Cricetulus griseus: one gene and its partner. The protein of the gene in region 2 interacts with the protein of the main gene of each other region in a pairwise test. Links are inferred from orthologs where the notes say so. Each region holds a gene or a part of one and is shown on either strand. Other genes may lie near its edges.

Region 1 (7,984 bases), about 100 Mb from region 2:
CAGTCTTTGCTACATGAGATACTGCGTCAAAAACAAAAACAGAAAAACCACAGATCAGTTGGTACAGGAACGTGTTACCAAATTTGGAAACTAAGTTCCCTCTCTGGAACCCAAACAGTGGAACAAAGAACCTACTCCATATCTTGTCCTCTGACTTCCACCCTCAGCACAGTGTGACATCATATGCCAATACACACATAAACCTACATACAGTAAATAAATGCATGTTAACACACACATACCACCAACAACAACAACAACAAAAAACAAACAAACACTACATTCAGTGGCTTTTTCACAGAACCTACGGTTTCCTTGAGACTACAGAGTTCTGTTTTTATCTGCCATTCTTTGGATAATTACTCAATGAGATTATCCCTTAAATGTCATACATAATCTTCCTGATCCTTTGGAATGACCTGAAGACAAAATGTCTTGAAACTTCTAATCCTCAAACCCTACTGAGAAAGGTTCAAACTAAGGCCTATCTCGGAAAAGTCAGAAATATCAGGCAGTGACAGAAACTCAACTGCATCAAGCAGAACTGTGCTCAACTGCATGGCAACTACAACTTTTTTTTTTTTTTTTCTTTTTGGACTTTTGAGACAGGGTTTCTCTGTGTAGCTTTGGAGCCTATCCTGGCACTTGCTCTGGAGACCAGGCTGGCCTCCAACTCACAGAGATCCACCTGCCTCTGCCTCCCCAGTGCTGGGATTAAAGGCAAGCGACACCAAAGCTCGGCAACTACAACTTTTAAATGAGGCAAGAAAAGCAGGCTGGAGCTCAGATTTGCCCTCCAAATTACAGGTTTTATGTAAAAAAAATGTCAAATGTCAAAATGTTCGTTTTATTTTAATATCTTGATGGCATCAGGTTACACACCTCTTTCTAACTATGTGGCCTGAATCTTTTTAAATAATCAGTGTTTCTTTAGACTGCTGAGTTAACAGAAGCAATTTTTCCTTTATCTTAATTTTATTTTTGAGAGAAATTCTCACTCAACAGCCCAAGCTACGCTCAACTTGTATGAACCCTCTTGCTAAAGCCCCGAGTGCTGCCATGACATTGGTATACAAACATGCCTGTCAAAACAGAGGATTTTATAAGAGTTATGCTGGAGGTAGGAAGACGGAAACAAGCCTGGGAATAAAAGAGTACTTGCCACATACACTTACACAGAAAGGAAAATAGGAAGAAGGGGGGGAGGAGGGAGAGGAGAAGGAAGGAGGAAATCCCCTTTCTGCTTCTGGGGTGATAGGATTACATGTGTCTGCCACTGCCTGGCTTAAAAGTTAGACTTTGGGGATGAGGAGATGACTGAGTGGTTAAAAACACATACTGCTCTTGCTGAGGACCCAAGTTCAGTTCCAAACGTACATGTTCAGTAGTTGACAACCACCTGTAACTCCAGTTCCAGGGTATCTGACCCTCTTCTGTCCTCCACCAGTACTTGCACTCATGTGCACATACCCACACACACACAAATAAATCTTTCTAAATATTAGAACTTTAAGCCTAACGTATTTACTGAGTGTATTTTGTTGTTTGTTTGTTTTTTTAACTTTTAAGTTAACTTAAATTGTTTGATGGAGATATTTGCCTTCACAAACTGGACAAATAGCTATAATTGATCATTGCAGAATCCACTCCAAACTTCCTCTATTCCAGATTTAACAGACCTCAAAATAAACAGAGGAAGAAATTGAATGAGAGTCAACATACAATGGAAATGCCATCATGAAATCCATTACTTTGTATGCTAATGCAAAAAAATTTTAATTCATTTGTGGCACACTAAAAATAATTTTAGAGCTGGAGAGATGGTTCAGTTGATAAAGTGTCTGCTGTACAAGAATGAAAGCTGAGTTTGCATTTCAAACACCAATGCAGAAGCTGGGTGAAGTGGTGCATGTAGTTAATCCTAGTTGTAGAAGGTGGAGACAGGTGGATCCATGGAGTTTCAGTGACAGACCCTGTCACAAAGACTAAAGCGGAGGAAGACTGACAAGACATCTGATATTGATCTGAGGCATCCACAAAGGTGCACAGACACGCACATACATCCTTATGCACAGATGCACACACCAACTTGAGATCTCTCTCTCTTTCTCTCTCTCTCTCTCTCTCTCTCTCTCTCTCTCTCTCTCTCTCTCTCTCTCACACACACACACACACACACACACACACACATACACACACACACACACACACACCACAAAGAGGGATAATTTAAAATAACCTAAAATGCTGATCTGAGCAAATTTATAGTAGATAATGACCACAATGAAAATTAAAACAAACAAAATTCTTCCCTTACTTTCTATACTGAATACCACATTAGGCTCAAATACAAATATGTTTGTTCATTTGTTTGCTAGTTATGTTTTCATCCAAAGCATTAATGTCAGGAAGCACGGACCTGGACAGCCTCAATAAATACAATTTCCTCGGACCGTTCCAAAACATCAGTAGGTATTTTTGAAGGCACATTAAATGATTTCTGGTACAAACAGGAGCCTGAAACTTTTTACTGCCATATAAGCAAATGCCTCTAAGCAGAGCACTGAGGTGGGGTTGGAGAGATGGCTCAGCAGTTAGGAACACAGGCTTATCTTCCCCAAGTCCAGGTTCAATTCCCAGCACCCAGACAGCCACTTACAACTGTAAAGCCAGTTCTAGAGTATCCGATGCCCTCTTCTGGCACCAGGCATGCACATGGTGCACAGACATATATACAGACAAAACTCTCTATCACAGAAAATGATTTTTTTTAATCTTTAAGAAAACATTAAAAACTAAAACTAATTATTGAGCAATGAGATATCATGAATCTGGCAGTTTGCTTCAGCTTTATTATCAAATTGCCAAATGAATAAATTGGAAAAGCCTTTCCCTTCCAAAGAAACTAACTGGAAGGCCTTCTTGGCAAAAAGAAAATGAGGGTATGCCTTACATAGGACAACTAGACTGCAGCAAACCGTGTGTGAATAAACAAAAGGTTCTTTTAGCCATCAGCAGTTAACTTTTCTTTTGTCTTAGTTTGCTCTTTTACCTTTAAAGTCAGCACCTGATGTCTTACAAGACAATTTTGAAACACCTTAACTACTGATGTCTATTTTAAGATTTGGGGCTGCTAGGTTAAAATTGTCGAGCGGCAATTTTTTTTTTTTTTTGAAAAAGAAAACTCAGTCTTGCAAATAACAAAACTGAAAAACTTCGTCCTTGTCTTTCTGTATCTCAGTCTTGGAAGGCTTTATTTTTCCTTACTTACCCCTGGTTGACCTATGTAGACCAGGCTGGCCTGGAACTAACAATGATCTGCTTGCCACTACCTCCCAAATGCTGGGATTAAAGGCACACTCCAAGACCCAGCCTTATCTTCTCTTCTTTGGTTCTATGTAGACAAACACAATCCTTCTCAAACTTTTACTGCGCACTGCGATCCCTAAGGAATCTTGTGGAAAAGCAAGTTCAAACTCAGTGGGTGCAATGGGGTCTGGGAATCTGAGAAGTCGATCAGCTAGCATTTGAGGACTAAGCCGCTGTCAGGCAGTCTTAGGAGGACGAAGCATGTGAGACATCTGTATCTGGGCAGATGTGGGGAAAGTTCTTCTTTTCTTTCAGCCAAGAACCATCACTTAATTCACACAAAGTATTAAGCGCTCACGTGCTAACAGCTGCGGCGGGTACACACTTAGCCTAAGTCCTTAATGTGTTAAGTGAGGTTGAAAAGCAACCACCACCACCAAACACTGAGATCCGATCTGGCTTCTCCCTGAGATTAACAGTAACTCTCTGGGAATTGAGTTACCTCCTCCAAGCCTCAGCTTCTTCACATAACGGTCTCGAGCGCGTTTCAGGTTTGAAAGAAAATAAGAACGCAGGACAGTAAAACTTTCGAGCAATCAGGCAAGCACAGAACGACTGACCCACGCGGGGACTTCTACTGCAAGCGCTGGGGAGATAGTATCACGAAGGGAGCCGCTAACTGCGCAAACGCCCACCACCTGTGGACACGGGTTTCTCTTGAACGAAGGCCTGCGCGCTCAATCTCGTAGTGTACGGGATTTACAGAAAGAACGCCGGGAGCTGAAGCAAAAGCAAAGAGGCGGACGACACCCGCCACCCGTAGGACAGGCTGGCTGGCCAAAGTCGGATGCGGGGAGGAGAGCGAGCGTCCCGAGCCTGCAGGGACGTCCCGCGGGCTGCTGCTGGCTGGAGGCGGGCGCCGCGGCGGGCCCGCGGTACGGCGGCCGCCTCCCGGCCCCAGCGTGCCCCCAGCTCACGTACCCTCCAGAGCTCCGGGCGTCCGGGGCCAGCCGCAGCATCAGAGCCGCACCCACGACGGCACACGACCGGCGGCGCGGCAAACCAGAGCCGCGGCCTGACTCAAAGAAGCACAGGGTTGAGTCGCCGGCGGATGAGGTTCTCCGGGCTCCGCGGTGACCCTGTCACCTCTGCTGGCTTTATAGTCCTATTGGCTGAGACTGAGGGCAACGTGAGGAAGGACACCTAATCAGCGAAGGGATACTTCCAAATCAAATCTCTCATTGGTCAACTCTCCGCGACCAATGAGAACTCGGAACACTGAATTGGGCCCAAGGGCTCGCCGTCCACCGAGTACTAAACACATTCGAGTCCATCGCTGTTTCGCGACTACAACTCCCAGAGTTCCTGCGGCAGGGTTTCAGCTTCTGCGTTCAGAAATTCAAACCGAATATTCTGTCTCCGGCAAGTCTTCCAGGTCTAATAAAACGACCTTGTAATCCTTCATGCGCGTCTGTGAGTCTTTGCTCAGGCCCTTCAGACATTTCCTTGTAGTTATTACTATGAACGTCGGCACTCTGGCGTCCTTAGATTTCATTCGTTTCTTCTCGGAGTCGCCTTATATGCAAAGCGAGGGACGCCAAAAGCTTTCGGGTCGGCTGAGGTGATTTGACATTGGAACGAGTTTGTCTTTTAATTTCTCAAGTTCATCATGAAGTTTCGTTAACACCGCTTTCTATTTAGCAAAGTAAAGACACACTTGTTTTATCGGTAGTAGTCACTGAGGGGTCGCGTTAGATAAATGTTTTATTCTCCAAAGTATGTCTCGAATTGTAATCCATATCCCGCGGGCCAATCTGAAAATAATACATCCATCACGCTCATTGTGGACCTTCTCTTTTACTGTCTGATTCTGATGTATAGTTCATATATTAAGGATACAGGGATTGGCTGTTGTTTGTTACAAGGGATTTGAAAGGGCTTTAATTTGGAAAGAGTGTGGAAGAGTACCAGACTGTACTCTAAGCCTTTATCTCCAGGGCTTTGTAAGTGAATTTATAAACCAGACCGCCAAGGTAGCTCAGGCCTGTAATCTGAGCACTAAGTAGGCAAAGGCAGAAGGAAGATCATTCCAGGTTCAAGGCCAGTTTAGGCCAACTGGAGCTTCATGGAGACCTTGACTTAAAAAACAAAGCAACAAAAGAACCCATCTAGTTGAGTTTCTTTGTGTTCCCTTGTTCTTGGTTATTGTATTATAAAAAACCTATAATGAAATGGGAGCAAAGAAAAGCTCAGTAGAAAACAACGACAGGTTTCTAATACTATCTGACCTCGGGCAGAAACAAGTCTGGCTTGCTTTATTTCCAAAGCCACGAGGGGGAGTGGTGGTAAGAGAACACTGAGTCTGAATTAAAACAGGAAAAGAAAATTAAAAAAAAGTAAATATACTAAATCCAAAGGGCATAGCTGGTTAAACATAAACTATCTGGTTGAGTAAATGAAAAAAATTGCCTAATATTCTAATAAAAGATGACTCAGTTATCCAGAAATACAAATTTACTATTTTGCATATTAAGTGAATTTGCGTATTAGGAAAAGAAATATAGTATTGTCTGAACTAGTAATTAGTGACAGGGTTTTTTTTTTTACACTGTTGGGAAAATACATTTCACAAAGTCTTTATCTGTTGGAAGCTCACCATCTGAAACTGAATGTATTCACACTTGTGCCATTAAAGCTCTGAGAAGGCTAAACTTTCTGCAAAGTGCCATTACCAAGAAAAGATGGCTGGAACTAAAAAGCAAAGGATTCCTTAAAAAAATAATTAGCTTTTCCTAAACTCCTATAGATTGATTACAGGCCTCAGGGAAGTCTTTAAGTTTTATGAATTCTCATTCCTGACTTTAAAGTGTCTGAACTTGACACCTATGAAATTATGCTACCTACTATTATGAGTCATGCCTTGAGTCTTAGATAGCTTGCCACAGGACAGGCTGGAATGTAAAGTTTCTCAATCGCTGCATTGCTTAAGACGCTATTCAGATCCTGTCAGTTTTATTTAACAATCATCTTGTGAATACACACATTGTGCCAGAGACAGTCTTAGCCATTGTGTGTGGTGTGTGTCAGAGGACAATGCTGTGGTATCCATTCTCTCCCTCCTCCTCTGTATGATGAGGTGTTTTGAATGGGAATCTCCACCCATCAGGACCATTTATATGATGTTTTGAATTAAGAATATGTGGTTCTGGTCACTGGGAGATAAAAAAGTGGCTGTGATTAACAAGATACCAAAAACACGAAAATGAAAGTTTGCTTTCCTAGGGCAATTGGTACTGGTCAGCTGGGGCTGAAGAATCAGCTGTGATTAAAGAGACCAGCAGCCAGACGGTGGTGGCACACACCTTTAATCCCAGGACTCTAAAGGCAGAGGCAGGTGGATCTCTGTGAGCTCGAGGCTAGCCTGGGCTACAGAGCAAGTTCCAGGACAGGCTCCAAGGCTACACAGAGAAACCCTGTCTCAAAGAAGAGAGAGAGAGACCAGCACCAGACATGGCTGCCAGTGTTGTGTGCTCTGTGGGTATCTAACCTGAGGATCCAGGCAGCACAGATGCTGAGAGTTTTACCCCAATCAGGTAACCACACAAGTGCTTATCTTGACATTTCTTGAAGATAGGAGAAGAATATTGTTTATCCACCACATCTGCCGGGTGAACCTCAGAGACCAGCAGAAAGTTACCATTGTTGGAGAAAAATAAAACACTCCATGGCTGGCTGGGTGGCTGGCCCCTGGCATCCTCCTTTCCTTCTTTTGTTGCTCCCCATTCCTCTTTCAAGCCTAGATTTCTCCCATTTATTCTCTCAGCCTAGCAGTCCCAGCTATTTCTCTCTCCTGCATTGCTACTGACTGTTCAGCTCTTTATTAAGCCAATCAGGTGTTTTAGACAGGCAAAGTAGTAGCACAGCTTTGCAGATTCAAACAAATGCAACATAAAAGAATGCAATACATCTTTGCATCACTAAACAAATATTCCACAGCATAAACAAATGTAACACACCTTAAACTAATAATCCACAACAGTAGCTTCCTCCCTATTGGCTAGTGTCCATAATACTAGAATGTATTATGCAGACTCCTGCGAGAAAAAAAAAAAGACAAAGTTTTATCCAGATGTGAATCCTGCAAACCCCCCAAGGCTAGATGTATACCCATTATTGCAACACTGCAATAGGGGTAGCTAACTAGTTTCTGATTGCATGTGAGGCCTGTTGTATTGGAAAGGATTCATGCCTGGTACTGTAAACCTGGTCAAAAAAATCTCATGGCTGGGAGGTCATAATCTTCGGGGAGCAGAGAACCCAATACTGTTGTTTTTCTCAATGGACCTAGTGTCAAGCTGTTTTCTAAATACGAATGTTTATACCCCTGGAATAGTTCTTCCTGTGTGGTCAGAGTAGCTTCTCTTTGCAGTAGACACAGGTTAATGTAGTCTTGTATCTGGGCGAAATTCTGAGAATGTGTGATTGTTGAGGGCTGAGCTCTGAAAGAGACATCACTGTCACCCTCTCCACTTTCTGAGCATTTCAGAAGAGGGAGCAGATTGTAAGCGCCAAAGGATAAACAAGAACACCATGAATTGTGGACTTCTTGACATGACCTTATCACTGTACTCATGAACTCACAGAGGCTCAGGTTACTGTCAGACCTACACAAGAT
Region 2 (8,120 bases):
AGACAGCAGTGGGGAGCCTTGCACAGAATCCTTCTACAGACGTGGAGACTATATTGTCCCACGGGCACCCTCCAGAGCACTTCATGGACCTGATGGCCCGAGCCCAGCCCTGTTTGGAAAGTTGGAGTTCACTGTGAAGTAGGTTGTACTTCAGCAATAGGGTTCTGGGGGGGGGAGGGGGGGGTCCTACTGCCTGCCCCAGCATAGGTTCATGATGGGACTGTTGGAGCCAGTGTCCCCAGGACACCTCCTACCCTGACCCCTACTCCACAGAAGTGGCGCCCAGCCAAAGACCACAGCCAGCACTGTCTAGGCCCCCAGGGTACTCTGGACACACTCATTTGCCACTAGGTGGCCACCAGTTCCCCTTGGCCACGCCTAGGGACTTGACCCACATCCTGAACCACTGACCATGGCCAGTCTTTTTTTATGCACACAGGAAAGCGTTTTATATGAACTTTCTCATAGTTTATAGATATTTTTTAGAAATCTGAATATCGAGGAGAATGAAGTGGGGACAATGGCTCCCCCCAGCAGCAGCCGCATGATGGCTGGGTCTGAAATCCCAGATGGACCCTGCCTGATGTCCTTGCAGCTGCACGTGGGGGACAGCGTGCCCATCGTCTTTCTCTTCCATGGTTTTTACAAGTGGTCTTCCAAGGGTCAGCATTTCCCCAGCTCTGTCCTGCGCTTCACACTCCCAAGACTGCCTTGACCTTAATCTCGTTAAGGCCTTCTTGACATCAGCCAGTTCCCTGTGTGCCCAGTTCTTTTCCCTGCCCCGCCATGGCTGTCTTCAACCTGGCAGAGGAGGAAGGCAGGTACCTGATCCCTGAGCCCAGCTCTCATCTGTTGCTGGAGTCACCCCACAGAGCCCACCTCATTGTCTCTGGGAGACCCTGCAGAGATCACACATTTCCTCATTTCTCAGAACAAACCAGTGAATTGGAAAATCATACCCATTTTTAAACCAGGATCACTCAGTACTGGAGTTGTGAATCAAACCCATGTGACTCCAAAGGCTGTGTTTTGGGTTGGAGGGTGCTTTGTTTGATACAGCACCCCTGCTCACTTCCCCCTGTGGTAGCAAGGAAATCCTTTAAAATCATGACTCCTCCTGAAGGCGGTGGTAATGCACTCCTTTAGTCCTAGCACCCGAGAGACAGAGGCAGGAGGAAATCTGTGAGTTCAAGGCCAGCCCGGTCTACAGAGCGAGTTACAGGACAGGCTCCAAAGCTACACAGAGAAAAACCCTGTCTCAAAAAAATAAAAATCATGATTCATGATCTGGCCAAACATAGCTGGTGCCAATGGCTCTGCCAGGTTCCTTATCTTGGGGGGTATGAGCCCGACAGAAACGGAGAGTACCTGGGCACTTCACGGTGCCTCTGCCTCCTCGTAGGCATGATGAGTATGTGCCACCCAGCCTCAGAAGGGGCCAAGTGGACTCCACACTGAGCAGTTCCGGTCCTATGTAAAGGACTGACTGCTGGGGCTTCCTGAGTCTTCAATGATACCTCTGCATACCCCCAGCTGCCATCTTGTCACCCCCTGTCCCATCCCCAGTACGTCCTGTAATAAAATTAGAGCGTCTAAGGAAACTTGGTGCTTTTCCTTTGAGCAGGATGTTTGGTTTCATCCTTCTGAGGTCTGACTGCTGCCCTATTGGGAGATGGGCAAGGATGGACATTTGAGCTGGACTGTCTTTGGAGCCTTGTCTGTCAGCAGAGGGCTTGAGTGACATGCCTAAGGTGAGTTTGTAATAGAATGATCAAATATACCAAAGAATCTGATATTTGGTGTGGAGAGTAGTCCTAAAGTTAAATCTCTTGTCTTAGAAGCAGAGCCCATGACAGGCATTAGGTAGTTACAGGAGGAAAGGCACCTGGATAACAGTGCTTGTTACCAAGACAACCTGAGTTCAGTCCCCGAATCCCACGTGGTGGAGAGAGCCAATTCCTAGTTATCTTTTGCTCTCCACATGGGCACCACAGCTCACACACATGGTGGGGAGGGTGTAGGGAGAAGGAAGACCTGTAAAAAGAAGGCTTGAGTCAGAAGAGGGCAAGGAGAAAAATGTAGCACCAGAGTGTCAACCAATGCCTAGCCATCTGCAGAGAAGGGCTCTAGAACACAAACCAGCCTTTTGTACTGGAATCACTTTGACTAGTGTGGTGAGATAAAGCCAGTTTCCAGATTAGGGATTGATTATAATCATTATATGGGGACCAGTGCAAAATGAAGTGCAAGAAAAATGTAAGACACATTTAGTCAGGTGCTAGGCAGTGGCTTTGTCACTGATAGACTGTGCAACAGTCATATCCTACAAAATCAAAGGCGCTGAGAAACTCGTGGTGTCAAGAACTTGAATGGTGCTCCATCTGTGTTTAGATGTAAATGTTTACAATTGTGATACAACTGCTCTGGGATTCAGCACCAGTAGCAGCTATGCAAGTTTGCAGCCTGGAGCAATAGGCTACACCAATTCCTCTAGGTGTGTAGTACACTACATTAAGTAGGTGTGTGTAAGTACACTCTATCTATAATGTTTGCGTAACTCGGTCACCTAAGGACACATTCCTCAGAGAGTACCCTTTCTTCAGCAGTGCATAACTGTAATTTCAAGGGGACAACAATAGAGAAATAAAGCATGCATGGGCGTAGTAAGGCAGGTCTGGGCGTAGTGCCCGTTGTGACTGCATCGGGCTGTCCACCCACGAAGCCAACAGATTTGTCCCTGGCAGATGGGGATTGCAGGCTTTGGGACCAAGGCAGTGCAACTGTGAGTCAGGCAAAGCCATGTACTGAGGGCAGAAAATGAAGTGTGTCCCGTTAACTGGATGCCATGGAGACCGGCAGCGTGAGCTTGTGAGCTTGGAAGGAGTCTCCGGCGTCATCAATCCACCCATCTAATCCATAAACTGAATTATGCAGCACACGTGTGTTTGTGTGCGAGACACGGGCTTTTAAATAGAAGGAATCCACTCCGAAGCACTGCAGGGTATGCGTCAAAGGCGAAAGCGTCCATTTTTGCTGGGGGCCGTTTGTCAGGGAACCAAGCAACGGGCCTGAGGGTCGACTAGACAAGCATGGCAGAAATGCCGAGACGAGGGTTCGGAGACTTGCAGCAGCAGTAAGGTCGACACCAACTATAGTAGGTGCTGAACTGCAACACTGCCAGACCACCGCTGTCCAGAAGCTTGTAGAGAATAAACGTGGGAAGCAACGAGGAATCGGAACCGAGGTCCTGCGGCTGAAAGCACCGGCTCAGCGCCCTAGGAGCAGCCCGCGCGGGGGGGCGGGGCCCGCGGAGGGGTGTGGCCTCCCGCGTGTGCCGCCCACTCAGGCCGCGGCCGCCCCGGCCCCTTGTTAAGCCCGCCTCTCCCGGGCGTGCGGCATGATACGCAGCGGCAAACGACTGCTTCCGGAGGCGGGTCAGCGGAAGTGGCGTTTGAGGCCCGGCCGCCTGCTGTAGTAGGAGGGGCTGAGGTGAGTCCGAAGCTTGAGTCTGAGGTGAACCCGGCGTCGGGCAGCGCGGCCGGGAGGCCCGCTGCCAGCGCCTCCGTCCCGGCGCCGGGGGAGCGCGTGATTGCTGTTCTCGTGCGAGTTCTCGCGGGAGGCGCCGCTGCCTGTGCCCCCTCCCCCCCCCGGCGGGGCCACTAGTCCCGAGGCGTAGTTGCCGGCCAAGTCACCCCGCCGTTGGGGTCGGCCCGGCCGTTAGAGCGCGCCCCGGGCTCCGCGCCCTGGCCGCGTGACGTTTCTGGGACCTGCGCCGGCCGGCGGGAGACACCGACCCGGCCCGTGGGTCCACGGGCCGCCGGACGCGCAGTGAGGACTCGGCCGACCTTGGTCTGGGCCGGGCGGGCGGGAGGCCGGGCGGGCGGCGGCGTTGACGAGGACGCCAGGCGTTGCCTCGGCTGCCCGTGGGACCCTCTCGCCCTCGGCGCGGGCAAAGTTTCTGCCGGCTCGGGGCCCTCGTGGAGCGCGGCGGCGCGGGGCGGGGCGGGGCGGCGCGGGTCTGCCGGGAGAGACGCGCTCACTGGGGCTGTGGCAGCGCCGAGGTGCGGAGACCGGGGCTCGCCTAGCGGGCGCGCGGGGGGGCGGGGCCTCGGAGCGAAGTTGGTGTCGCCCGCGGCGGTTTCTCACGGCGGAGCCAGCGCTTGCGGTGCCTGGCAGAGGCCGCGCTGTGGCCGATTGGCTACTTCATTTGTCTTGCGCGGCCTCGGAAAGCAACACTGCGCGATGCTTGAGTAGAGGGGCGGAGGGAACTGGGATGAGCTGGGCTAGGGTGCCGAGGAGGCGTGTTGGGAGCTGATGGCCGGGTGGCAGTGTGGCTCCAAAGCGTGCACTCGCCAAACAGTATTAGAGCTTGGTTTGGAGAGAGCCGGAAGATGGGGTCCGGCTGCTTGGTAGGCCCTGATGGCAGGAGGGCTGTACAGTCTAGCAGAGTAATTGAAGGAGCAGTTTATTAAGATCTGCCTTTGCCTGAGGATTAGATTCAGCTGGAGTCTCTGGAGATGAAGCAAGACAGGAGTAGCACAGTTAGATGGCATTCAGCAAGAAGGCTGGCACACAGGAAATTTGTAGGCTTCAACGGCGCTGCACATACCAGAACCTAGCCCAGACTTTGGGCACGGTCTTCTGTACTGAGTGACTGGCCAGACAAGTCCTTTCCTTTCTTCGTGTGTATCATAAGGTGACAATTCTGTCACAGTAGAAGAGGAACTCCAGCTCTCCTTTAAAAGATACTGCTCGTCAAATTCAGCTCATCCCTGTTCAGCACCAGACCTGGGTTCCCTAGTAACTTCTGACCCAGGCATTGCAAGCCCTCATGACAAGACCCTTGGTCTACCTTTTGCAATGATTTAGGATATTCTGCCTTGTTTTACAAGTCCCTCTCTTTCCTACCCTGTCCAAACTCGACATGGGGTCTTGAACTGAAGTCGACTCCTGTGCCCACCTGCCTAGTGCACCTCTTAATGATGCCCAGCCTTCCTTAGAAAAGTGTGTATTCTTGGTGTTCAACAGATACAATGCTCACTGATTGAACTTTAATGCCAGGGCAGCTGTGAAGAGTGCAGTCAGGATGACTGCTTTGTATGTTAACCTGAGAAACGAGTTTTTACAATAACACTCATGAGCAACTCTGTTTTGTGTTTTGTTTTTGTTTTTGAGGAAATAAGATCAGTTATTTAAAAGGGAGTAACTTTTAAATTTCATTAAGCACTTCAAGACCCACCTACCCCAATTTCACCGACCTTTAGGGTAGCCTAGAGTAGCAATTTTTCTCTTTGTTTTGTTTTTTTGAGACTGGGTTTCTCTGTGTAGCAGCTTTGGCTGTCCTGGAACTTGCTTTGTAGACCAGGCTGGCCTTGAACTCAGGTCTTCTGCCTCTCAAGTGCTGGGACTAAAGGTGTGTGCCACTACTGCCCAGCGAGTGTTGGATTTTCTTTTCCCCATTTTACAGATGAAGAAACCAGCATTCAAAAACATTAAGAAACACCGCTATAGAAGACTAAGCCAAAATAAAAAAATAAAAAAATAAAATAAAAAAGCTCTTGGGGCTGGAGGTGTGTTTCTGTGACAGAATGTTTCCAGTTGGGAGTAGGGTGTGCATTACAACCACTTAAATCTCTTTTCTCTGTAGCCCAGTAGACTGAAATTAGCATGAGTTGGCTGTTGATTCTTTCTTACCCACTTGCATTTTCAAGAATAAATGTTTGGGCTTGGATGGTACCCTGGGTTTTGCTTTCCTTTGAGCTTTGTAACTACCAAAGAGCTTTGCCTCAGTTCATCTTAGAGCCTGGAGGTTTCCCTGAGTTGGCCAAGCTTTCTCAGCAAATCTGGGTTTTGAAAAGCCAGTGATAAGTAAGGGCAGCCCTTGGGCTAGTTTTCTTCCTCTACACATTGGAGATGGTTTTAGCAGTGGCTTTGCAGAGGTTTGTTTTATGACTGTCAAGTCCCTACTCTGGTGTTTGTTTCACAGGAAAGATCTCATGTTCTTAGGAATGGCCTGATATGAAAGAGTCATACCTCCAGCTTTCCCAAGCTGCTCTGTGGGTGCCTTGTCCTTCAAGTGCAGGAGCTGGCTGAACTATCGGGAATGGAAGCCAATGTGGTAAGGAGTCCAAGGCAGGGGGCTTAGAGAGCTGAACTATACAAGGCCCTGAGATGCCAGTTCATTTTTTATTTTCACTGAAGCTCTGGAATTTGAGCAGCTGTCATCCTACTTCCTTTTTGGTACACTTCCTGAGTCCATGTTTTTATTTTTTTGTGCAAAAGAACATGAGGGAACCAGAACAGTCCATACCCCCAGCTAATTCCAGTTCCTTCTCTGAACCCTCCCAGCCACTGACTTTAGCTGCACCAGCTGTAGAAACCGGCCCTTACAATTGACTTGACTCACCTCTAGAGGAGGGAAGGCAAGAAACAGTAGTTAGACTCACTCTGAGGTTTTTGGGTTGTCCATCTCTTCCCTAGACTATCCCAATCTGGCAAAACAAGCCACATGGGGCTGCTCGGAGTGTGGTAAGAAGAATTGGGACCAATCTACCCCTGAAACCTTGTCCCCGGGCATCCTTTGAGGTGAGTGTACTGGAAGGATAAGGAAAGGAAAGACTCAGTATGGAATGTGGATGCTACTTCTGTGCAGAAGACATCTTGTTAGTTGCCAAGGCTTTTGCCTACTTTCCTGGTCACTCATTTCCTAAGTGCTTATATAAATAGATCCTGGTCATTGTGCCTTTCTGATTGTGTACAGACATGTGACCACAACAATCAGGCTTTCAGCTTGCTCATAAACTGATAATCTTTTATCCTTTGTTGCTGCTGCTAAGTGACTCAGATTTTATAAGCTTCCAGCAATGCGTTTTATCAAAGCAGGCCAGAAAGCCTTTGCTAAACCAAATCTCGAGATGATTTACGTTAGAGCTCTGAGGCATTTGTGCCTGGCAGGTCTATACATGAGTGCTGTGACTCTTGAGTAGACCTGCTTTTCTCACCAGCCCTAGGAGTGGGCCACTTAGCCTCTATTTTTAGTGTTTCTCTGTGGCCTCAAATCCCCATCCTCCTTTTTCTGTCCAAATATGGCCACTATATCACTGGCTGCTTGACAGGCTGACCTGTGTTACAGAGGCTTTAGCTTCCACTCTACAGCAGATTTCCTGTCTGGATTAGGTCTCTGAGACCTGCTTCTGTCATAGAAAATGAAATAATGTGCATTGGAGCCAAATGCTTCCATTAAAAACTCCTGGTGATGCTGGGTGGTGGTGGTATGCTGTCTTTAATCTCAGCACTTGCAAAGTAGAGGCAGGCCCTGTCTACACAGCAAGTTCTAGGACAGCTAGAGCTACACAGGAACCTGGTCTCAGAGGGAAAAGAACTCCTGATGAGGCATCTGCTCTGTGTTAGATGGCTAGGGTGGTGAGTATGGGAAACAGATATGAAAGCATGATGGCACAAAGGCGGTAGAAACACTTGCATAAAAGAATGTGGGCCTAGGGAGAAAGAGGTAGGGGTGTGTGTGTGTGTGTGTGTGTGTGTGTGTGTGTGAGAGAGAGAGAGAGAGAGAGAGAGAGAGAGAGAGAGAGAGATAGTGATAGCTGCAGTCAGTGTAGGAACTGAATCCAGAGTTAGACCTGGGATCAGGGTTGGTGTCAGGAGGCAGGATTGAGGTTAGAAGTGTGTGGTTGAGGGAATACTTTCTCGTTAACGCACACTGTCCAGAACTGTTAAGAGCATGGGAAGACCCTGAGTACTAGAAGCATCAGAAACAAGGGATGAGGCTGTGGAATGTGGCACTGGAAGCCCCACATTTAATTATACCCATTGTCTAGATGCTGCTGAACAAAGACAATTAAGGACACAGGCTCTTCAAAGGAATATAGATGAGTACTATTAACATTAGTGTATGGGGCTGGGGAGATGGTTCAGCAGCTGCCTTTCAGGGGACCCTGTCTGATTCCCAGCACCTGCATCACAGCTCACAGCTGTATGTAAACCAGTTTTAGAAGATGTGACACCCTTTTCTAGCATATGTGGGCACCAAGCATGCATATGGCACACAGACATAAGAGCAGGCAAAACATCCATACACATTAAGAGCAGGGGCATTCAAGACA

What was found. The genes of interacting proteins can lie anywhere in the genome.
Region 1: the proteins of Mtfr1l (region 2) and armadillo repeat-containing protein 1 interact in binary tests that used the Homo sapiens proteins (3 or more experiments, as listed by UniProt). The two-hybrid records come from large-scale screens. The link is inferred for Cricetulus griseus from reciprocal best matches to the Homo sapiens genes MTFR1L and ARMC1.

Annotation. Positions count from the first base shown.
Region 1 is NC_048595.1:123,715,198-123,723,181, forward strand, and holds the start of armadillo repeat-containing protein 1, read right to left. Parts: upstream 4,431-7,984; 5' UTR 4,291-4,430; intron 1-4,290.
Region 2 is NC_048595.1:18,746,417-18,754,536, forward strand, and holds the start of Mtfr1l (mitochondrial fission regulator 1-like), read left to right. Parts: upstream 1-3,450; 5' UTR 3,451-3,489; intron 3,490-3,512; exon of another isoform or gene 3,513-3,849; intron 3,850-5,467; exon of another isoform or gene 5,468-5,570; intron 5,571-5,986; 5' UTR 5,987-6,103; coding exon 6,104-6,118; intron 6,119-6,480; coding exon 6,481-6,585; intron 6,586-8,120. UniProt on the Homo sapiens protein: Mitochondrial protein required for adaptation of miochondrial dynamics to metabolic changes. Regulates mitochondrial morphology at steady state and mediates AMPK-dependent stress-induced mitochondrial fragmentation via the control of OPA1 levels.